Linked DNA regions of Lonchura striata. The protein of the gene in region 2 interacts with the protein of the main gene of each other region in a biochemical or structural test. Links are inferred from orthologs where the notes say so. Each region holds a gene or a part of one and is shown on either strand. Other genes may lie near its edges.

Region 1 (11,574 bases), on a different chromosome or scaffold from region 2:
GGCCAAGTCAAAGGAAGCCAGACCCATGTGGGGAGGGCTTGTGCTTTGGGGATTCCAGGCTGGTTTTGTGCCTAACTGCCCTGCACAGACAAGCTCAGGCAACGCTCGCTTCACTAAGACCGGGCGTCCGTTTTGGATTTCACTATTGTGATGACACTAGTAGTAGCAACCTTGCCAGGGACGAGGGGCCCCATACTGGAAGCGAGAGGCCCCCGTGCAGGGGTCACGGGACTCCGGGCCACGGTTCTGGCGAAGTTCTGGAGAGCCTCATATTTGGAGCGGAGAGCATCAAGTTCCATTTTCATGCTGGCATTCTCTGAGGCTAGCTTCTCCACTTCTTGCTGCAGCTCTGCCTTCTGCTTCTCCAGTTCCTCCTTCTGGGTAACGCGCTTCACTCTGCAGCTGGCCGCGTAACCCCGGTTCTTCAGTGTGCGCCGACGCTGCTTCAGCTGGATGATCTCCTCCTTCGACAGACCCCGCAGATGCTGGTTCAGCTCTCGCACAGACATGGTCACCAGCTCCTCGTCTGTCAAGCTGGTCCCATTCTCACCTGGCTCTCTCTTCACCTGGGAGAGAAGGCAGCACGCACTTGTGAAACCTGAGGTGGATGCCTACACCCATCCCTGCACCCCTTTCCTCCACCCACCACATTACCTTCAAGGCCTTGCTTCCTTTGTTGGGGGTCGTCATAACACGACAGCCTTGTCAGCTGGGTTCTGGAAGGGAAGGAAGGCCAAATTAGCACCTGGGACATAGCAGAGCCCACGGCATTCCTCTGGCAGGGTCCAGCAGCAACGCCTTGTGGTGCTCCACATCCTGGCCCCTGCCATGGAAGACAATCAAAAGCAGCCAGCTGAGCTGGACTCACAATGAGCAGAAACTGCTGCCCTTTCACACCTCTGCTCCCATGGAGACTGTGGCAATGCTGGGTTTTGTTTATGGTGGGGGAAATTAAAGAACTAGGAGGAATCAGAATACATGGAAGCCACATTTTTAAAAATAGCCTTGCAAGCAGCAGGCAGGGTCCAGAGCATGGCTGCTCCAGGCCAGTCACGCTGACTCAGCAGGCTGGCACTCTGCTCCACTCACTCCCAGCCTCATCCTTGTCACTCCCAAGCAGGTCAGGTTACCTTAACGTACCCTTCCAACAGGTGCCCAGCCCTAGAGCTCTCCAGATGCTCCCAAGGATGGTTCAATAAGACATAACCCTGAGCAAGGGGTACAGGGCAAGCCATGGACACACTGGAATTCCAACACAAATTTAGGCTGATGCCTCAGCAGCCTCCACCTCTCCCAGTCATGCAAAACTGACTCCAGTTGTAGGTATTTTCTATGAGAAAGTACCTGTCAATTCCTGGCATGCCAGGGCCAGAAACACCTTCTTCCTCCTTATCCTAAGAGTCAAGGTGTGCTCACAAGAAAACAAAGATTAAACATACCAAAACTCAGAGCAGACTCCTTCCCTGCCATGGAAGACAAGACTTCAGAACTGGTAAGAGCAATTCCCAGGCCTGCTTTAAAGAGACTTATACCTGGGCTCCTGCTTCTTTCCCCACATATCTCCTCTGTGCAGGCTTTTCAGTTCAGACTGCTACTACACTGCCCAAGGAATTGATCCACACAGATAGCACCTGACAGACATGGCTGTATCTCAAACACCCCAAAGTGCACTTCCCTCTCAGCCCAGACTGCGCCCACTCAGCCCTGGCCAGAATTCCTGTGCAGCCTACAGGTACCCCTGACCCTTTCATCTTGCAGGTGTCAAACAACAATTTTGTCTGCCCCTGCCTTACTCCCAGCAGGACTGATGTCAAGTTACAGACCAGAACCAAATGCACACATCAGCAAATATGACTTAGTGCTCTTTCAGCAGCTGTGGCACAGGCTCCCTACAGTGCAACTACACCCTACTGGAGGTGAGCAGGACTAGCAGTCCCCAGAACACCAGCAGAGATATTCTGAAGCCTGCAGCCTGCCAGGAGCCAGGCTATTTATATATACCTAGAGGACAATGCTCCTTCCAACAAGATGTCTGCTACACCCAACCACACTGGCATAGGCACGGTCATTTACTGCCCAAGGAAGGCAGCTGCAGTGAGGCAGGACAGGCAGCATAAAAGCAACTGCTGCACAAAATCAATTCTTCCCTCCTTCCTAGACTGCTCTTTATTCCTTCTGTTCCTATCTGGTAAACAACATGTCTGCTAGGAAAAGGGGAGAGGAAAGGGAATAGCTGGAGACACCAATGTGCATGCCCCTGCAGCACTTGCGTTCCCTGTCCTCTTTCAAGTGGAAGGAGTCAAGGATAGGTATGGTCAGTGCAACCACAGGAATTTGCTCACTCTGTGGCACTAAAGAATTTGCAGCTACCTGGTAAGCACACAGGCTACCTTCATTACAGCAGACCCAAAATGGAACAAACAGGGCACATGCATGCTGCATCAGGCAGGGCACTGGGAAGAGCGCTCCTCAGCAGGCTGGGGAATGGCTGGTGCTGGCAAAGCTAGACACAGCAGAGGCAGCTACTCCTTCCTGCCCCTGCACACTCTAGCACAACACCCTCTCAGGTAGGAGCCTCTCACAACAGTCATCAGAGCTGCAACAGATTGTCCCCAAAAACCTGGTGATCCCACCTCTCCAAGGTGCAGAAACATGTAGGGCAGTCAGTAGAATGGAAAGAACAACCCAAAGAGTTTCCTGGGTCCTGTTTTAACTGGGCTGTTTGGCAACTCACAAGGAGGACATCCAGAGAACTGGCAAAATAGCAGAGACCAAACTTCGCCTTATTCTCCAGACTGCTGATGGATCAGCTTTTGATAGCTTCCTGAAGAAAGATCACACTGAAAAGTGCCAAATACTATGGCTGCAATGAAGAAACTGCAGCCTTGACACATTTCCCCAGTGCTCAAAAGGCCTGAACTCAGCACAAGCACAGCCAATTCTCCCCTCAGCTAGTGGCAGCACATGGGAACTGAAAGCACCACGCATGATCCACCATGGGCCCTTCTCCGCACTCCTGATGCAGAACCCTGCCACAAGCCCCATGTAAACATGGTGATGTCACCTGCTCCAGCGCGGGCAGAGTGAGGGCTGCGCTCCCACACGGGCTCCATGGCTCTGGCAGGCACAGGAGTGTGATTTGTCAGCAGCGAAAGGGGACACAGCACAGAAACACTCTCTTCCAGTGTGAATTTCATACTCTGTTTATTTGCTTGCTGGCAAATTGGCTCACACAGTCTCATCCAACGACTCCCCAAATTACCTGTGTAGCCAAGATAGTGCCTCCTCTGTTTCCTTGGCGAGGTCATCCAACCCTGAGCAATTTTTTCCTCAAGGAATCTGCCCACCCGGCTGGTTTTAACTCTGCTCACACTGCTAAAGCAAAGGGCCAGCTCTGAGAGACTCCCTCCCACCCTTGGCAGTGCCCTCCTCCGATCACACAGTTCACATATCCCGGGCAGCCAGAGACGTGCCCAGCTCGGAACAGCACGACCGAGGCGTGCACAGCACAGACGCACGCAGCCCCTCCGTGCCGGTCGCACACAGCATTCCCGCGGGAGTGGAAACCCACTCCACCGGGGGGACACTGCAGCGCCCAGCACCGGGCAGCCCCTACGGACCAGAACCTCCCACCCGCACGTCTGCAGCTACCGAGGACAAGGTACCGACAGCAGGCAGCGGGGCTGTGCTGCCTGACTCTGCCCTGGGAACCGGGCGAGACGCCCCGATGGCTCCTCACCCTCCCGGCCCTCCCGTTCTCTGGAGAAGAACGACAGACCACGGCGAACACCCGCGGGGCTGGGGGCGGCAGCCCGGCGGGAGAGGGGGACGCGAGGCCCCGCCGGGGGCCTGAGCGCCCGAAGGTGCGGCGGGGTTAAGAGGGGCAGGTTCGGCCTGAGGGCAGCCGGTCTGTAACCCGACCGGGGCATTCGACACCCGCGGGAGGGAGGGGCCGGATGCGCCCGCGATGCCTGCGGGCGGACCCGGGAGGCGGTGGGCAGGGCCGGGGCAGGCCCCGGGCCAGCGCCCCGCGCACCTGTTGCTCGGCCGCCGAGCGGGGCCCGGACACGCCGGGGCGGGGCGGGGCGGGGCGGGGGCCGGGCGGCGCCGGGCCGGCGCGACCCCAAAGCCCCGCTGTGAGTCAGCGGTGGCGGCCCCGTTGGGCAACTGCCGACCCCGCAGCGGCCCCGGCCACCATCCCGGGGCCCGCCGTGCCCGCCCCGCCCCGGCCCGCCCCCGGGGACCGGCCCGCCCCACCCCGGCCGGTGCCAAGGCCGCGCCCGCTCTCGCTGCCGGTGGCGCTCACCTCCTGCCGGGGCCGCCGGGCCAGGCCAGGCCGGGCGGGGCAGGGAGGCCGCGCTGGGAGGGACCGGGACTCACGAGCCGCCGCCGCCGCCGCTCACCGACTCGTCACGTGATATTTGGGTCACGTGGCTCCATTCATGAAGCGCCCGGCGCAACCGCCCCGGGCCTTAAGGGGGCCGCGCTCCCCGGGGGCAGCGGGGGGAACGCGGCCCGACCGGGACTGGCCCGACCGGGACCGGCCCCGGCCCGACCGGGACCGGCCCGGCGCCCGCTCCGCGCCCTGCCGGCGCCTCCCGCCGCCGCAGTCGACTTCCCGTCCCGGGGCGAGCGCTGCCGCTCCGGCAAAGTACTGGGTCGGCCGCGGATCAGCTTCCGCCGTCTCTGACAGCAGCCACCGGCCTCCTGCGCTCTCCCCCGTGGCACGTCGCGCGTTTCATAGCGCGCAGTCCCTCCGCCCGCACCGGCAGGGCCCTCGGCACCGGCGGCTCCGCGCTCCCTTTGAGCTGCGCCCGCGGTCCCTCGGAGCCCGGCTCCGTGTGCGGCGGGCCCCGCCTGCAGCGGTAGGGCCGGGACCACCACTGCTCCGAAACGCCGCTTTCCCAGTCACGCCGGGCTCGCTCCAGGTGTGTTCCCGGCCCTCCTGATACGATTCGGGTCCACGACACTCACACTGGTGCCTACTGTTTGATGCCATGCTACAGGCCAAGAAGGGAGGACAACATGAGCATACCAGAGAAGGGCGAGGGGCCAGTGGAAAGTCCAGCAATGAAAGCGGGCACAAGGGGTTAAGGAGAAACTGTGCCCCGTAGGAGCAGCAGGGGCTCGGCTGGGCCCGGATCCAGCAGCAGCTGCTCTGTGCACAGGGGATGTGACCGCACGCCTTGCAACGCCTCTTGTAGCCCCTGATGGGCTGGGTTTCCATCCGCTCTGGTGCCCACCTCAGTTACAGGTCTATAACGATCTAGGAAGTTCATCTACAGCTGTGTCTCTGGGAGTACCCAGGGGCACCCCCTTAATCTCCTGGCAGAGGGGGTCAAGTTCAGGCATCCATTCATTCTGCATCCCACTTTTTCAGCCAAGTGAGAACTCTTTCCACAACACTTCCTTGCATTTTGCATCAGGCAGTACTTTATCCGTCTGACCTCCAGCCTGGCCTGTCAGCACAGGTATTACAGATCCTGAGCAGGAAACCGAGGAACATATGAGACCCAAGGACTCCTGACCTAGTGGCCACTGCCAGTGGCAAGGGATACCCCCAGTCAAAGCAGTTGGGATTAGCCACAGCTCTCATCAGAGACACAGTTTTTTATGTAAAGAGGGAAGAGGAGTAACCATCTGTCATACCTATAGGGTCATACCTTGCTGGCAGTCAAAAGTCTTAACACTAAAAATACTTTACCGTCACCAGCACCTCAGAGACAGCAGGAAATGTAAAAACTCACTACCCCTCCACCTGCCAAACCACCCAAGGAAGGCCAGCAGTAAAAGAGGGGCAGTGAGAGGTCACAGTTCCCCAAACCAGACTGCGCAGAGAGAATGGGCAGCCGCTGGAGAGAAAAGGAGCACAGTCTGATGTTCATATCTCCCTAAGGGCTGGGAGATCGGACAGAGGCAGTTGGTCTGTTCCAAGAGGTGATTCTGGGCCCAGCCCATGATGCACCATGCAGTATGGACTTTGTGTGGCAGCATCTGCTCCAGCTAGTAACGCCAGCGACAGGACATAAGCTCTGACAGCAGGTGCAAGATGGGGCTAGAGATAATTAAACGTTTGAAACCAAAAGTTCTGAAACATCTTTAAAAATCCTGTTAAAAAAATTTCTGCATGGGACACCACAAACACTGCTTGAGTCCTGGAAGTACCCAAGGCTTCTGGACAAATGATTTCCTTGACAAAGCTCTGATGAGAGCATCACCCCTGCCCAAGAAAACACCATGCCAGGGACAGCTCACCAAGCCCACTACAAGTTAAAGACCCTCTGCTACAGCTGCTGCAAGCCACAAGCCTGGTACAGGGGACACCAACGTGCTGAGTATTTTTCCTTGGACAAAAGAGAAATAACACAGAGAACAATAATGGCTTAGGAATGGTATTCCCTGTACTAGCATTCCCACTGAAATACTCAAACGCTCACTCACTGCCCTCTTGTCCGTCTCCCTCTGTGGTGGGCTGGAGAGGAGAACTGGAGGCACAAAAGGTAAAGATTGTGGTTTGCTACAAGAACAATTTACTGGAAGCAGTAATGAGATAAGAAAACAAATAATAACAGCATCAATATTAAGAAAAGCGTAGAAGAGAGGTGAAGGATTCACACGTGGTTGCTCACCACTACTCGCGTCATGCAACCAGCCAGAAGGGACCCCTTCTTCCCACCCCTCTTCAGCCCCTCTCCCCTGCTTCAAGCCTTCCTCCCCCCCCTTTGCCCACACTTAAGATGCACAGAATAACCAGGGTCCTGGCCACCTATTCCTGGCTACTGCAAAAATTAACCCTGTCCTGGCTGCAACCAGGACATTGACATTCAGCACTGCCAGAATATAGCAGTCTGGTCAGTTCTTCTTGCTCTTGCTGGTGAACAGACTGACTTTGCTAGCAGATGCTACAGACAGAGAAGGAGACTCCAGCTTCACCTTGTCCAGCAATGTTTTCTTTATGGCTGCCGGGGAAATCTTCTCTTGGTCTGCCAAATGCTGCAGCTCCCTGCAATCGGGTAGTGGGAGAGGAAGACAGAAAAAATAAGATGGGGAGAGTGGAGGGGGAAAGTCTTGCAAACTCTTTAGGACTTCCCAGTTGCCCACCTTGTCCGGATACAGGAAGCCTCCACAGCATTGATGAGGAGTGAGCGAAAGCCGCCACTCTCCAGGAAGTGCAGGGCATGGATAGTGGCTCCCCCAGGTGAGCAGACATTGTCCTTCAGCTGACCTGGATGCTGCTCAGATTCTAACAGCATTTTGGCGGCACCCTGTAGCAAGGAAAACACCTGCCAGAGTTCTGAAAGAGGAAGCCACTGTCAGACACTCCTGTTCTCACTGCACAGAGCAGCAACAACACTCACAACAGGCAAACCTAGGCTCCTGCAGGCTGCCAAAACATTTTTCAGAACTGATGAGGCCTGCAAAGGAGCAGAGTTTCCCAGGATCCATCTCCCACAGCACCAGCAGCACCAGCAGAGTGCTGCAGACACTTCCTAGAGCCCCTCACCAGGAACCTGTGTGCATTCAAACCAAATCCATTCTTTAAAGCAGATTCTGTGAGAGGACCAAGATAATTTCAAACTGTGATGTGTAGATTCCTCTGCAAAGAGCAGGCACAGACTCAGATTTGTTATGCAGGAGGTAATACTGACCAGCAAAGCCTGTGCTCCCAGTCGAACTGCCAGCCTGCGGGGAAGGCCCATCTTTACTCCTCCATCTGCAAGAGCATCCAGGGCAGTGAATGCCTGAGACCAGAGAGGAAGAAGGTGACTGAAAGACTGCTCTAGGACTGGTCTTAGGGAAGAGAGAATCCAGGCCTTTAGGACTGTTCTGTGACTCCTATCACTCACAGACTTGACAAAATGCCTCCCTCTTTCATTCATGGCTGCCATGCCAGGCTTCCCTCAAACTATTTCCAGCTCAGGAGTGGAGGGAATGGGAGAAATTCAGCTTCTGCATCATGCAAACTACAGGCCCAAGTTTTGCAACATGGACATGTGGACACTGCACACTGGCTATGGACTTCAGACTCATCTGACTCTTAAAAAAATTTTCCTGCTGCCCCAAACTGAACACCTGGAATACATGTCCCATTGCAAATATGGGTGATGGAGAAAAAAAAAAAATACAAGCTGAAGTTGCACAGATTTTTTAGCAGGCAAGCCAACTGCTCTCCCTAAGACTGGCACTAGCTGATGAAATAGCACATACATACGCAGGGCCACTGCCACTGAGCCCCGTTACAGCATCAATGAGGTCCTCTTCCACCTCGGTGCAGAAGCCCACACTGGCCATCAGTTGTTCCAAAAGCTTCCCATCTTCCACATCCGCATGAGTTCCAGTGGCATAGACTGTAGCACCTTCCCGGACTATCACAGGGGTGTTGGTCATGCACCTGATCACTTTTGGTGTGGGGCAGAAGGTAGAGAGTTTCTTAGGGCAGAAAATCATTGAAGATAGAAAGTAAGAAAAAAAAAAAGAAAGAAGGGAGAAAAATGAGCTTTAGTGCATACTTTTCATCAATGGGCTGTCCAGGAAAGGACCCCCCCCACCAGGGGCAAGAACAACACAAGCAGAAGGAAAAGAGAGACCTGTGTATCTCAAATGTCCTGCTTTGAGTCACAGCAGCCCATCCGTGAACGTGAAGCCTTAGTCAGTACCAGCAAAGCAGGAGCTGGGCAAAATCAGGTTGGAAACAGTATCCCAAAGGCCTCAAACCCACATCAACCCACAGATCTCCAAAACAGCTCCTGCAGACACTTAAGACAAATTCTGCAGAAATTCAGGGGAGATGACCTACTGCTGGTAATAGAAACATAATCGGACAGCACCTCACGTGAGAGAAAAGCTGGATAAAACCTCTAATAGCATTTGCTGATGAAGACAGGCAAAGGTGACCAAAACCAAGTTTTTTGCTGCTGCGTGACTTTAGTCCTGAGTAGCACAAGTACGACAAGTCCGTCCATCGGCTCCGCGGGGTCAGAGGAGTGGAACCAGCTCCCGGCTCGCCCTGCACGGCCCGGTCCCCTCTCACCTTCTCGATGGAGCTGATGGTGACGCCGGCAGCGCAGGAGACCACGATGTGCCGGGCCTCGATGTCGGGGCCCACCTCCTCCAGGATGAAGGGGATAATGGGCGGCTTTACGGCTAGGAAGAGGACATCGCTGCTCTTCACCGTGTCCTTGTTGCTCACCGTGAAGTTCACTCCCATTTTCTGCACAGTGGGGAGAAACGGGACCGCTCAAGCCCGGGATGGCCCGAGAGGGGAGCGCCGCCACCCGGTCCCCGCTACCCGGCCGCACTCACCCGCAGCCCGCTCACGGTGGGCAGGTCAGTGTCCGGGGAGCTCGCCGTGATCTTGTGCGCAGCCAGGACCCCTACGAACGACCCTGAGCGTCAGCCCCGGGACGGGCACCACCCGCCCCGTGTCCTCATGCCCCCATGAAGCCCCCGGCCAGGGCGAAGGCGAACTGCCCCGCGCGCACCTGCCGCGGTGAAGCCGCGGGCCAGGGCGAAGGCGAGCTGCCCCGCGCCGATGAAGCCCACGCTCATGCCGGTGCCCGCCGGTCCCGGCCCGCCAGACCCGGCCGCGCCGCTGCCCACGTGGCCGCGCGCGCACGGAGGCGAGACCGCGCGGCGGGACGTGGGCGCGCAGCCAATCGGCGCGCAGCGGGGCGGGGCAGCGCCGGCGCTCCACCACTCAGCGGGCGGGGGCGGGGCCAGCGGCGCAGCGCTCGCCAGCGATTGGGGCAAGCGGCGGCCGGTGTTGCATCATTCGCCGCCCGCCGCGCCGCCCCGTGCCGGCAGGTGGCGCCCTGCTCCCGCCGGGGCTCACCGCAGCGGCCCTGGGCTCTGGAGACGTCAGGCCGCGTCAAGTGTTCCTGTAAAACCCAGGCGGCACGCAGTGATTTTTTTTCCTAAGTATCATCTTTCCTCACTGGGGTTTCTTTTTATTTGTTCGTTTTTTTTCCTTGTTTCTTTATTGGAAGAAATAAATCTCAATGTTTTTTTCTGTTGATAAATGTTCCTAAACAGTGATCTTTTGTGGATACTGAACACCAGGACTCCAAAAAAGAAGGCAAAAACCTAAACCAAACCATTAACAATTCAGATTTCATGCTGGAATCCTCTGGGTGCTGTCTAGATTGGCTACAGCCACAAGTCCATAATTAATGAACACACATAAATCCTAACATTAGTTTACCAAAAGAGGCTGGGAATGGTTGGTGACTGGGACAACCTGGTTCTTGGGGAGCTACTTGATCATAATCTATTAATTAAAGGGGGAGATACACTCTGGAAATGAAGGGGGTTCGGTGAACTAAATCATGACAGAGCGGGTTGGTAAATTCTGATGAGTAGATATCAGATGTTCTCTGTTCTGGATTGGGCAATCTCATACTTTCCAATGGTTGGGGAATGTTTTAACCACTGAAGCATGAGGTTTTGATTTTTTTATTATTATTATTATTTTTTTCTCCTAAAAGAGAGGATTGTTGTCCACACAATCTTTTTTTGCCATTTTGACCATGTCCACATTTTTTGCTCAGCCTTTGGCTGGCAGATGAGAAAGCTAAATATGAACACACTGTTCTTGGCAATGACTTGTGTTTCCACTCCTCCAGTCAGTGGGATCATGATTTCCATATTAAATTCGCTTTCCCCTTATTGTGAAGATACTCAATTTTGCCCTCATTGTTTCCCAAGTACCAGTTTCTCTTTGCCCCTTTGACCCTAGCTTGTTGTAAGTTGCATCAACTCATAGCATTGTCAGATTTTACCATGTTTCTGCTCTTGCTCCAGCTTGGTGCAAAATCTTCCCAGCATGAAGCCTGGCTCAGCCACATGTTATCAGCCAAGGAGTTTTCCAGCAGCTGCTACTGCCTGAGCCACTGGTAGTATCAACCCTGGGGACAAGCACCCCCAGCCCCCCCAGCTTCCCAGAGCCACCCCAGAGCCTGCAGGATGGGGCTTTCCTCAAACAATGTTCCTGGGCTTGCTGGGTGGAATTTTATAACAAAAAGGCACCTGTTGGGTTTTTAGTGATCTGAAATTAAAAAAAAAAAAAAATAAAAAAATCAAGTGTTAAATAGCTTAATTTGTCCATATTGATGGGTTTAACAGGAATACATCATAAATGCTCAAGGTCTCTAGGTCCCTTTGTATGCAGTGGCTCTTGTAAATTGACTCCTCCAACACACTGACTTGGGAAAGGAAATCCCAACAGTGCATTTTGTTCTTGTACAACCCATAATTTGTTTGGGTGGCAAGAAATAAAGCTCCTGGTTGATATCTATAGCAGATAGCCTCAGGTCTTGCCCTGCCTTGCCTTGTGGTCCTCCTCTTGGACCATGCCTTCCAGATTTCCTGTCCTTCACTGGGACTCTCAGGAGAGAAAACCCTCTTGGAAGGCTGTTCCTCTGTGCTGGATCCTGATTCTTATCCCATTTCCTGGCCAATGCTCCCCACTGCTAAGGGCTGGTCCTTGCTCAGAATTATTTAGCATCATCTGTCCCAACAACTTTCCCCTTTGCTTTTCAAATCCCACACAAAGCACTGATGAAAAGTAAGTTTGCT
Region 2 (11,342 bases):
CCTTGGATCAGCACTGACACCACATTCCACACACCTGGAAGGACCTGGGATCAGCACTGACACCCCCATTCCACACACCTGAAAGGACCTGGGATCAGCACTGACACCACATTCCACACACCTGGAAGGACCTGGGATCAGCACTGACACCCCCATTCCACACACCTGAAAGGACCTGGGGCCTTGGATCAGCACTGACACCACATTCCACACACCTGGAAGGACCCAAGGCCATGGATCAGCACTGACACCACATTCCACACACCTGGAAGGACCCAAGGATCCCGGGCTGGAATCCATCCCGGCCTTCCCAAAGCTTCTGGCTCAGGCAGGAAAACCAAACCCCCCCTGCCCAGCCCGCTGGGGAGGGAAACTGAGGCAGGAGCTGAATTCTGGAGAGGGAAACTGAGGCAGGAACCAAATTCTGAGGAGAAAATGTGAGCCAGGAACTGAATTCTGGGGAGGAAAAGTGAGCCAGGAACTGAATTTTGGGAGGAAAACTGAGTGAAGAACAGAATTCTGGGGAGGAAAACAGGAACTGAATTCTGGGGATGAAAACTGAGTGAGGAACTGAATTTTGGGAGGAAAATTAAGTGAGGAACTGAATTTTGGGGAGGTAAACTGAATAAGGAACTGAATTCTGGGGTGGAAAAGTGAGGGAGGAACTGAACTTTGGGAGGAACTGAATTCTGGGGAGGAAAATTGAGGACCTGAACTTTGGGAGGAAAAATGGGAGAGGAACTGAACTTTGGGAGGAAAACTGGGGGAGGAACTGAACTTTGGGAGGAGAACTGGGGGTGGAACTGAATTTTGGGAGGAGAACTGGGGGAGGAACTGAATTTTGGGAGGAGAACTGAGGGAGGCCCAGCTCCTGGCCGGGCTCCAGCCCAACCACCTGCTCCACACCTGGGCCAGGGCTGTTTCCCAACGCTGCTGTTGATTTCCCAGCTGGATTGCTCTTTCCCAATCCCCAGAGTCACGAGGGGCCCCCAGCTCCTTCCCCCTCCTTCCACTGCTCCCCTGGAGCCAGAACAGGGCAGAGAAAATGGGAAAAGTGCCCCGGAACTACCCCAGAATTACTGACACCTGCCCCGATCCAGCACTGGAGCCAGAACAGGGCAGAGAAAAAGGGAAAAGCACCCCAGAATTCCTGATACCAGCCCCGATCCAGCACTGACACCCCCATTCCATACACCTGGAAGGACCCAAGGCCCTGGATCAGCACCGACAACGTTTCTCTATGTCCCTGAAAGGACCCAAATACATGTATCAGCACTGACACCCTCTCTCCATACCCCTGGAAGGACCTGGGGCCATGGATCAGCACTGACACCCCCATTCCATACCCCTAGAAGGACCCAAGGCCCTGGATCAGCACCGACACCCCCATTCCATACCCCTGGAAGGACCCAAGGCCATGGATCAGCACCGACACCCTTTCTCCATGACCCTGGAAGGACGCAAGGCCATGGATCAGCATCAACATCCTTTCTCCATGACCCTGGAAGGACCTGGGGCCATAGATCAGCACCAACACCCCCATTCCATACACCTGGAAGGACCTAGTGCCATAGATGAGCACTGACACCCCCATTTCATACACCTGGAAGGACCCAAGGCCATGGATGAGCACTGACACCCCCATTCCATACACCTGGAAGGACCCAAGGCCATGGATGAGCACTGACACCCCCATTCCATACACCTGGAAGGACCTAGTGCCATAGCTGAGCACTGACACCCCCATTCCATACACCTGGAAGGACCTGGTGCCATGGATGAGCACTGACACCCCCATTCCATACACCTGGAAGGACCCAAGGCCATGGATGAGCACTGACACCCCCATTCCATACACCTGGAAGGACCCAAGGCCATGGATGAGCACTGACACCCCCATTCCATACACCTGGAAGGACCCAAGGCCATAGATGAGCACTGACACCCCCATTCCATACACCTGGAAGGACCCAAGGCCATGGATGAGCACTGACACCCCCATTCCATACACCTGGAAGGACCTAGTGCCATAGCTGAGCACTGACACCCCCATTCCATACACCTGGAAGGACCCAAGGCCATGGATGAGCACCGACACCTCTCTCCACGACCACAATCCAGCATTGCACCATCAAACACAACCCCCAAACCCACCCCAGAACCTCCCTGCAAACCCCCCAAACCCCCGTTCCCCACCTCCCTCCCCCCAAACCCCCAGACCCCGTGCTCCCTACCTCCTTGGTGAGATCCCCGTTGCCGGGCGCCGCCACGGCTCCCAGATCCTCCATCTCCTCCCCGAAGCCCTGCTCGGGCGCGCCGTCGCGGGCGCCGCCGTCGCCGCCGGAGCCGTCCTGCAGCGGGCCGGCCGCGCCGGGCTGCCCGGCGGGCACGGCGGCCTCGGCGTCGCGGTGCACCAGCCAGGCGCTGACGCGGGCGCGGGGCACGCGCAGCCGGTCCAGGCTGAGCAGGCGGCGGGCGCCCGGCAGCCCCTCCAGCCCCGCGCTCTTGGGGGGCAGCCCATGGCCGGCCCAGGGCCCGCGCAGGCGGTGGAACTGCGTCTGCGTGTAGGCCGAGCTCTGGCCCAGGATGATCTCCCGCAGCGGCGGCAGCTGCGAGCCCAGGTACGTGTCCACGTCCACGCGCACGCCCACCAGGCTCAGCAGGATGGTGAACTGGATCAGGCCCTCCGTGAAGTACTTCTTCAGGGACAGCATCTCTGGGGAGGAAACAAAATACAGTGAATAAAAAAACCCACAAATATTGAGAATGGATAGTGAGACTGAGCAGGATGGTGAACTGGAAGTACTTCTTCAGGCTCAGCATCGCTGGGGAGGGAAACAAAATACAGTGAATAAAAAACAAAGTGTGGGGATGGACAGTGAGATTGAGCAGGATGGTGAACTGGAAGTACTTCTTCAGGGACAGCATCTCTGGGGAGGAAACAAAATACAGTGAATAAAAAAACCCACAAATATTGAGAATGGATAGTGAGACTGAGCAGGATGGTGAACTGGATCAGGCCCTCCGTGAAGTACTTCTTCAGGGACAGCATCTCTGGGGAGGAAACAAAATACAGTGAATAAAAAAACCCACAAATATTGAGAATGGATAGTGACACTGAGCAGGATGGTGAACTGGAAGTACTTCTTCAGGGACAGCATCGCTGGGGAGGAAACAAAATAAAGCAAATAAAAAACAAAGGTTGGGGATGGGAAACAAGACTGAGCAGGATGGTGAACTGGAAGTACTTCTTCAGGGACAGCATCTCTGGGGAGGGAAACAAAATACAGTGAATAAAAAACAAAGTCTGGGGATGGACAGTGAGATTGAGCAATATGGTGAACTGGATCAGGCCCTCTGTGAAGTGTTTCTTCAGGGACAGCATCTCTGGGGAGGAAACAAAATAAAGTGAATAAAAAAACCCACAAATATTGAGAATGGATAGCGAGACTGAGCAGGATGGTGAACTGGAAGTACTTCTTCAGGGACAGCATCTCTGCAGGAGGAAACAAAATAAAGTGAATAAAAAACAAAAGTTGGGGATGGGAAACAAGACTGAGCAGGATGGTAAGCTGGATCAGGCCTTCCATGAAGTACTTCTTCAGGGACAGCATCTCTACGGGAGGAAACAAAATAAAGTGAATAAAAACCAAAGTCTGGGGATGGACAATGAGACTGAGCAGGATGGTGAGCTGGATCAGGCCTTCCCTGACATGTTTCTCCAGGGACAGCATCTCTGTCTGGAGAAGGAAAAACAAAATAAAGGGAATAAAAAACACAACAAAGGTTGGGGTTGGGGATGGAGAGTGAGGGAGACAGGATGGCGAACTGGATCAGGCCTTCCCTGAAGTTTCTTCAGAGACAGAAAAACAAAATAAAATTAATAACAAAAAATCACAAAGGTTGGGGATGGACAAACAGGCTGAGCAACATGGTGAGCTGGATCAGGAGAGCATCTCTGGGGGAGAGGAAACAAAATAAAAGTGAATAAAAACCGAAGTCTGGGGATGGCGAGTGAGGCTGAGCAGGATGGTGAGCTGGAAGTATTTCTTCAGGGAGAGCAACTCTGGGGCAGAGGAAACAAAATAAAATTAATTAAAAACACAACAAAGTCTGAGGTTGGGGATGGAGAGTGAGGGAAACAGGATGGTGAGCTGGATCAGGCCTTCTGTAAAATGTTTCTTTGGAAAGAGAATCTCTGGTGGAGGGGAAAACAAAATAAAGTCAATAAAAAATAAAGAGTGAGGTTGGGGATGGAGAACGAGGGAAGGCGCAGCCTCCACAACAGGTTGGGTGGGTTTGGCTTTGCTCTGCCCCACTTTCAAACAGTTTCTGCCCTTCAGGGCACAGCTAAAAACCGGGAGAAAAGTTTAAAGAACGCTCAAAAGGTTTTTAGTTCAACGAAGCTCGGTTTTCCTGTGCAAAAATCAGGAAATTGGAGCGCGGAGAAGCGGAGATAATCAGAGTTTAAAGGAGGGAGCTGCCCCGGCAGCTCCACCCTCGCCTTGACTTTTGTTTTTATGCCGGGCGGAGAGTTGGAATCCCCGATTCCCTGTTGACTTACTGTCCCAAAGCTCCTCATGCAGCGACTTTCGGTGTCCCCCGCAGCTCCGGGCTCTGCTCTTCCTCCTCAGCTCCTGCTCCTCCTCCTCCTCCTCCGCTCTCCCGGCGCTTTCCGCCCTTTTCTGCTCCTTTTATGAGTCAAAGGTCCCGAGCCTGGGAAGGTCCAAAGCCTGCGACGCTCCCGGCTGCGATTTCATCAGCAGCTGCAACGCAACCACAGAGCAAGCTCGGTACCAGCGGGGCGCCACCCCGCCGGCCTTCCCCCGCCGAATCCCGGGAATCGCGCCGCGATTCCCGGTGCCCTGCCCGCCCCGGGCTCCCTCCGCTGCCCGAGCTATTCTTAGGCAGCTGCGTCAACTTCCCGCCGGCCCAAGGAATCCGCCCGCCTTTCCGCCTTGCCGTGCTTCCAGCCGCGCCGGGGCTTTTCCACGGAAAACCGGGAACGCTCCCGGTCCCACCGGGGCGGCTCCCGCCGTGCGCGCCCGCAGCCGGGGGATGCCGAGCTGGCGGCTCCCGGATTTTTGAGGGGGTGTGTGTGTATAGGGGGGGTGTCCCCGGTTTTTTTGGGGGTCCCCAGTGGGGGGGAGCCACGTGCGCGCCCCGTTCCCGTTCCCGGTACCGGGGCCCTTTAAGGCCCCACGTGACCTCGCACCCCCCCCCCCCTTTTCCAGGTGCGGCCACGTGACCCCGCCCCACCCGCGCGCGCGCTCCCGCGGCCTCGCCGTCCCCCCTCAGAGCGCGGCCGGCCCCGCCCCAAGCGCGCCGTCGCCGCCGCCGCCACCTCCGCACGCCGCCTCCCCGCACCCTCCGCCACAGATTCCGGTACCCGCCGGGCTCCGCCGCCGCCGCTCCGGCCCCGCCGCCGCCGCCGCTCCCGCTCCCCGCCCCGGCCCAACCGCCCCCCCCGCCCCGCCGCCAATCACCGCCCGCCGAGGGGAGGTGAGAGCGCGGCGCGGACCAATGGGAAGCGAGCGGCTGGGAGTGCCTCCCGCCTCCCCGGCGGCGCTTTGATTGGCAGGCGAACTGACCAATGGGCGCGCGAGAAGGCGCGGGCGGCCGTCGCGCTCGGCGCGGCCGAGCCAATGGAGAATCAGAAGCGGGGAAGCGCGGCTCGCCCCGCTGCGTGCTTGAGTGACAGCGCGCCCACCCAATGGCGCGTATAACCCCTACTGAGTGACAGCGATATCAACCAATGAGACGACGCAGAGAATTTGAATGGCAGCGGCGCGCACCAATCGCTTTGCCCCCGCAGCGGTTGCCGTGGCAACGGGCGGGGTGAGGCCGCCATGGCGGCCCCGGCGCGCTGAGGGCCGCAGCCGCTGCCCGGCCGCCGCCTCAGCCCGGCTGCCCGCGGGAGCTCCCGGCGCCCTTACAGCCCTGGGTGGTGCTGCTGGGAGCCTCCCCCGTCCCCGCGGGGAGATTCGGGGCTGATCCCCCGGGGCACACAGGGAGCGGTGTTTTGTTCTTTATGGCGCGGGCATTCTCGCATGGATCCACACAGAATTACTGCCACTTCTTCCCTTCCCACATGGATCCACATGGGATTCCTGCCCTCCCTTTCTCCATGCAGGATTTCTGCCCCTTCCCTCACGGATCCCTGTGGGATTCCTGCCCCGTCTCCCATTCCCACACAGATTCCTGTGGGATTCCTCCCCTTCCCAGATGGATCTGGGTGAGATTCCTGCCCCTTCCCACACCAACCCCTGTGGGATTCCTGCCCACATGGATCCACATGGGATTCCTGCCCTTCCCACATGGATCTGTCTGAGATTCCTGCCCCTTTTCCCATTCCCACACAGATTCCTGTGGGATTCTTGCCCTTCCCACATGGATCCACATGGAATTCCTGCCCCTTCACCCATTCCCACATGGATCCACATGGAATTCCTGCCCCTTCACCCATTCCCACATGGATCTACATGGGATCCCTGTGGGATTCCTGCCCCTTCTCCCCTTCCCACACAGATCCCTGTGGGATTCTTGCCCTTCCCACACAGATCCACATGGAATTCCTGCCCCTTTTCCCCTTCCCACATGGATCCACACAGGATTGCTGCCCATCCCTGCTCCATGTGGGATTCCTGCCCCTCCTCCCATTCCCCCATGGATCCACAGAGGATTCCTGCCCCTTCCCACGCAGATCCCTGTGGGATTCCTGCCCATCCCTGCTCCCTGTGCAATCCCTGCCCTTTCTCCCATTCCCACATGGATCTACAGAGGATTCCTGCCCATCCCTGCTCCCTGTGCAATCCCTGCCCACACCGTGCCAGCAGCTGGCAGGCCCTGGCAGCACCGCCCCGATCCTGCCATTCCTTCCCTGCCCCACAAACCTGCCGGGACACACGGGATGCCACGGGCGCTGCTTCATCCCGGGGAAACAAAACAAACACGGAGAAAGCGGCGTGGGATCCACACCTCGCGGCAGGGCGAGCCTGGCCAGCTTCTCCCAGGCGTTTCCCAGCCTCTTTGTGCCCCCCAAAAACCTACAGAGATCCAGGGAGACAAGGGAAGGTGCTGGAGAGGTTGGAAGTGCCCAGATCCCGGAGATTCTCTGGGTGGATTTTGGGGCTATTTTCCACCCTGAACCCCCCCAGGGTTGGATTTTGGGGGTGTTTTCCACCCTAAACCCACCCTGGGGTGGATTTCGGAGGTGTTACCCACCCTAAACCCATCCTGGGTTGGATTTTGGGGCTCTTGCCCCAGCAGGTTGAAGATTTGGGGGTGTTTTCCACCCTGAACCCACCCAAGGTTGGATTTTTGGGGTATTTTCCATCCTAAGCCCCCCTGGGATGGAGATTTGGAGCTGCTTTCCCACTGAACTCCCCTGGTTTGGATTCTGGGGGTGTTTTCCACCCTGAAACCCCCCCAGGGTTGGATTTTGGGGCTGTTTTCCACCCTAAATTCCCCCCAGGGTTGGAACAGGGGGTGTCTGGGAGCCCCCCCAAACCCTCCCGTGCCTGCCCGGGGCAGTTTCCAGCCGGGAACCCGAGCCGGGCTGTCCCTCCCGGGTTATTTTTAGTGTCCCCAGCGCTGTTTGGGGACAGCTGGCCCTGTCCCCGTGCCCACCTCGTGCCACTGAGGCGGGCACCGAGCCCCTTCCCTGCTTTTTCCTCCCAGGAAAACGCTCCAGCCCCAAAATTAAAGCAAAAATTTTCCCAAACAAGGCAAAATTTGGGTGAGCCACCAGAAAATTCCAGGCTGGGAGAGCTCAGGGAATGGGAGCAGGCACTGGGATTGTTTGGGATGGATCCAGGAGCTCCTTCCCAGGTCTGGGATCCTCCCCCAGCGTTGATGATATCCAGGGATTAATTAGGCACTAATGAAGTTTGTCCTTCCCAGCTGGATCCAGCTACAATTAAAGATTTTCCTGCCCAATCCGGTGTCGGGGCGGACCCGACTCTTTCCCTCCTTACCGGGGCGGGTTTTTGGGATATTTATGGGGCTTTGTTGTTAAATCCCAATCCTTAGGGAGTGATCACTTCCGTGGGGCCAGCACAGGGGTCCCGTGGGGCTGGGACCCCCCACTCCCCATGGATGTTCCCTACAGACCCCCCAAACCTTGGGACAACCATCCTGAGGACACCCCAACGTTGGGATCACCCCTTTTTGGGACCCCCAACCCCACAGACCCCTCCCCACATTGGGATCACCCCTTTTTGGGACCCCCGCCCACCCGGGTTTTGGCCCATTCTCGGGGGGTAACCCCAACTCTACAGAGGCCCCCGAGCTGGCACGGCCTGTCCAGGGCCCCCCACGCTCCCATGGCACCCCAAAATGCGCTCTTGGCACCCCAAAATCCCCCCGGGACCCCAAAATCCGCCCCCGCTTCGCCCCCCAACGCCGCGGCCCCAACGCCGCGGCTCTTTCCCAGAGCCCCCTGCGACACCGGATTTATTTGCATAGCCCCGCCCATTACACACGTACGAACAACCTAATAAGGTATTTGACCACGCCCGTTCCTACATTGCCCCCGCCCCTATGCCACGCCCCTTCGCGCATTCGCGGTCCTGCAGCGCCACCTGCCGGCGGCTCCGCGGCAGCGCATGGGACCCCGCCCTGACCCCCCAAACCGGGACCACCGTCTCCGGGGCCCCGCCCTGAGCCCCCAAACCGGGACCCCCCAATCCGGGACCCCGCCCTGACCCCCCAAACCGGGACCACCGTCTCCGGGGCCCCGCCCTGAGCCCCCAAACCGGGACCCCCGGTGCCCGAGACCCCCCAAAACTCCACCCCTACGAACCCCCTTCCCTTTTGGGGACTCCCCATTGTAGCGCCCCCCCTCAATCACAGGGGGTTCCCCTTCCCCTGGGGATCCCCAAAGCGGAGCCGGCCGGGGCTGGGGAGGGGGGGGGGGTTCAGGGCACGGAGCGCCCCCCAAAACCCAGCGCAGCCCCCTCCTGGGTATCCCCATGCCCGGGGGGCTCCGTGTCGCCTCGGTGTCCCCCCGGGCCCGAGAACAAAGAGGAGGAGGAGGAGGAGGAGGAGAATGGGGGGGGGGGGGGGGGGGCGCGAAGGCCCCGCGGGTGACACGGGGACAAAGACGGGGAAAAAGGGGCTGGCGGGGGAGACAGCGACCCCACAGCGCCCCAAAACACCCCAGAACGCCCCAAAACACCCCAAACCACCTCACAGAGCCCCAAAACACCCCACAGCGCCCCAAAACACCCATTGGGACCCCCCAGCCCCATTGAGAACTCCCAGCCCCGCCTGGGGGCGGTGCCACAGCAGAGCCGGACCAATCAGCGGCCGGGACGCCTGAAATGTGGCGGGGCTATCGCGACACCAGCCAATCATCTGCCGGAGGGGGCGTGGTCAGAGGGTGACGTCACTGGTCGCAGCAGCCCCGCCCAGTCCGGCCCAGTTTGTCCCAGTTTATCCCAGTCCGGCCCAGTTTGGGGGGGTTTAGGGGGGGTCTGGGGTGATCGCGGGGTCCCGGTGCCACCGCGCCCGGGGACCGCCAGCGCCGGCGACAGCGCCCACGCACCGCCCGCTCTGCTGGGAAATGGGACCCCCCCGGGGCACCCAAAGGAGCGGGGCCGGTGGCCCCGAGCCCCGCTCCGGGTCTGGCCCCCACCCCCCTGTCCCATCCCTGTCCCTGTCCCTTTCCCTGCCCCCATCCCCGTCCCCTGTCCCTGTCCCTGTTCCATCCCTGTCCCCGCCACAAGCCCACTCGATGTGCCACCAAATTTGGGTTTATTCGGCGACACCCCCAAACCCCGCGGCACCCCCGGGTGGGCAGGGGGGGCTGGGATGGGCGCAGCACCCTGGGGACCCCCCGTGGCATCAGGGGCCACAGGCACAGGCTGGTGTCCCCTGGGGGTCCCAGGCTGATGTCCCCAGTGTCACACTCTGATGTCCCCAGGTGTTAAATTGATGTCCCAAAGTGTCACAGTGTCCCACTCCGATGTCCCCAGGTGTCACAGGCCGATGTCCCCCGGTGTCACAGGTGCCACTCCGATGTCCCCAGGTGTCACAGGCCGATGTCCCCCGGTGTCACAGGTGCCACTCCGATGTCCCCAGGTGTCCCAGTGTCACACGTTGACGCCCATCAGGTTCACCGGGCGCCCCCCGTAGCGCTTGGAGATGTCGGCCTCAATCTGCAACGGCACCGGGGGGTGCTCAGGGGGGCTCGGGGGGTTCTTGGGGGGCTCGGGAGGCTCAGGGGGGCTTGGGGGAGCTCAGGGGGGCTCTTGGGGCTCTGAAAGGGCTCAGGGGGATCAGGGGGTTTCGGGGGCTCTTGGGGGGCTCAGGGGTTGCTTGGGGGGGCTTGGAGAGTTTAGGGGGGCTCAGGGGTTTTCGGGAGTCTCGGGGGGCTCTCGGGGGTCCCTCACCAGGCGCTGCAGCTCCCGGCTGCTCTCCTGCAGCCGCTGCAGCCGCGGCTCCAGGGCCGCCTGCTCGGCCAGGGCCTGGCGGCGCCGCTGGCCCAGCGCCGCTCGCTTGGCCTGCAGCAGCTCGGCCTGCAGCAGCTGCCGCCGCAGCAGCGCAGCCACCCGCTCCACGTACCTGCGACACGGGACAGCAGGAGGGTCACTGTGGGGAGGGGACACGGGACACGGGACAGGGGACACGGGACAGGGGACAGCGGTCACCGCGGGGAGGGGACACGGGACACGGGACACGGGACAGGGGACAGCGGTCACTGTGGGGAGGGGACAGGGGACATCATGGGGAGGAGACATGGGACACGGGACAGCACGGGGAGAGGGACACGGGACACGGGACAGGTGACAGGGGACAGTGGTCACTGTGGGGAGGGGACCCGGGACAGCACGGGGAGAGGGACACAGGACATGGGACAGGGGACAGCACCGGGGTCACCGTGGGGCGGGGGACACGGGACACGGGAAAGGGCTCACTGCGGGGCAGGGGACATGGGACAGAAGTCGCTGCAGGGCAGGGAACAGCAGGGACACGGGACAGCATGGGTCACCACGGGGAGGGGGACAATGGGGATACAGGACAGCGGGGACAGCACGCGGCTGTTTGGGGCAGTTTAAGGCCGTTTTGGGGCAGTTTAGGGCCGTTTAGGGCCATTTCGGGGCTGTTTAAGGATGTTTTGGGGCTGTTTTGGGGTAGTTTGGGGCCGTTTGGGGCAGTTTAGGACTGTTTCGGGGCAGTTTTGGGGCTGTTTCAGGGCAGTTTGGGGCAGTTTGGGGCTGTTTAGGGCCGTTTTGGGGCTGTTTAGAACCGTTTTGGGGCAGTGTGTCCCTTCGGGGCAGTCCCAGCACCTGGGCGAGGCGAGGATCATGCAGAGGTGCTGCACGCTGCGGGAGCAGAGC

What was found.
Region 1: the proteins of NFE2L1 (region 2) and MAFG form a complex in vitro, tested with the Homo sapiens proteins (2 studies listed by BioGRID and IntAct, with this or other methods). The link is inferred for Lonchura striata from reciprocal best matches to the Homo sapiens genes NFE2L1 and MAFG.

What each region holds. Positions count from the first base shown.
Region 1 is NC_134621.1:11,959,608-11,971,181, forward strand, and holds the start of MAFG (transcription factor MafG), read right to left. Parts: upstream 4,444-11,574; 5' UTR 4,307-4,443; intron 3,404-4,306; exon of another isoform or gene 3,263-3,403; intron 717-3,262; 5' UTR 691-716; coding exon 655-690; intron 567-654; coding exon 114-566; 3' UTR 1-113. Other genes in the region: PYCR1 (pyrroline-5-carboxylate reductase 1, mitochondrial), read right to left, coding at 6,853-7,003, 7,102-7,265, 7,650-7,742, 8,209-8,430, 9,032-9,211, 9,304-9,374, 9,483-9,549. UniProt on the Homo sapiens protein: Since they lack a putative transactivation domain, the small Mafs behave as transcriptional repressors when they dimerize among themselves.
Region 2 is NC_134627.1:8,342,883-8,354,224, forward strand, and holds the start of NFE2L1 (endoplasmic reticulum membrane sensor NFE2L1), read right to left. Parts: upstream 5,460-11,342; 5' UTR 5,390-5,459; exon of another isoform or gene 5,345-5,389; intron 4,767-5,344; 5' UTR 4,565-4,766; intron 2,717-4,564; 5' UTR 2,715-2,716; coding exon 2,235-2,714; intron 1-2,234. Other genes in the region: CDK5RAP3 (CDK5 regulatory subunit-associated protein 3), read right to left, coding at 10,095-10,160, 10,395-10,566, 11,292-11,342.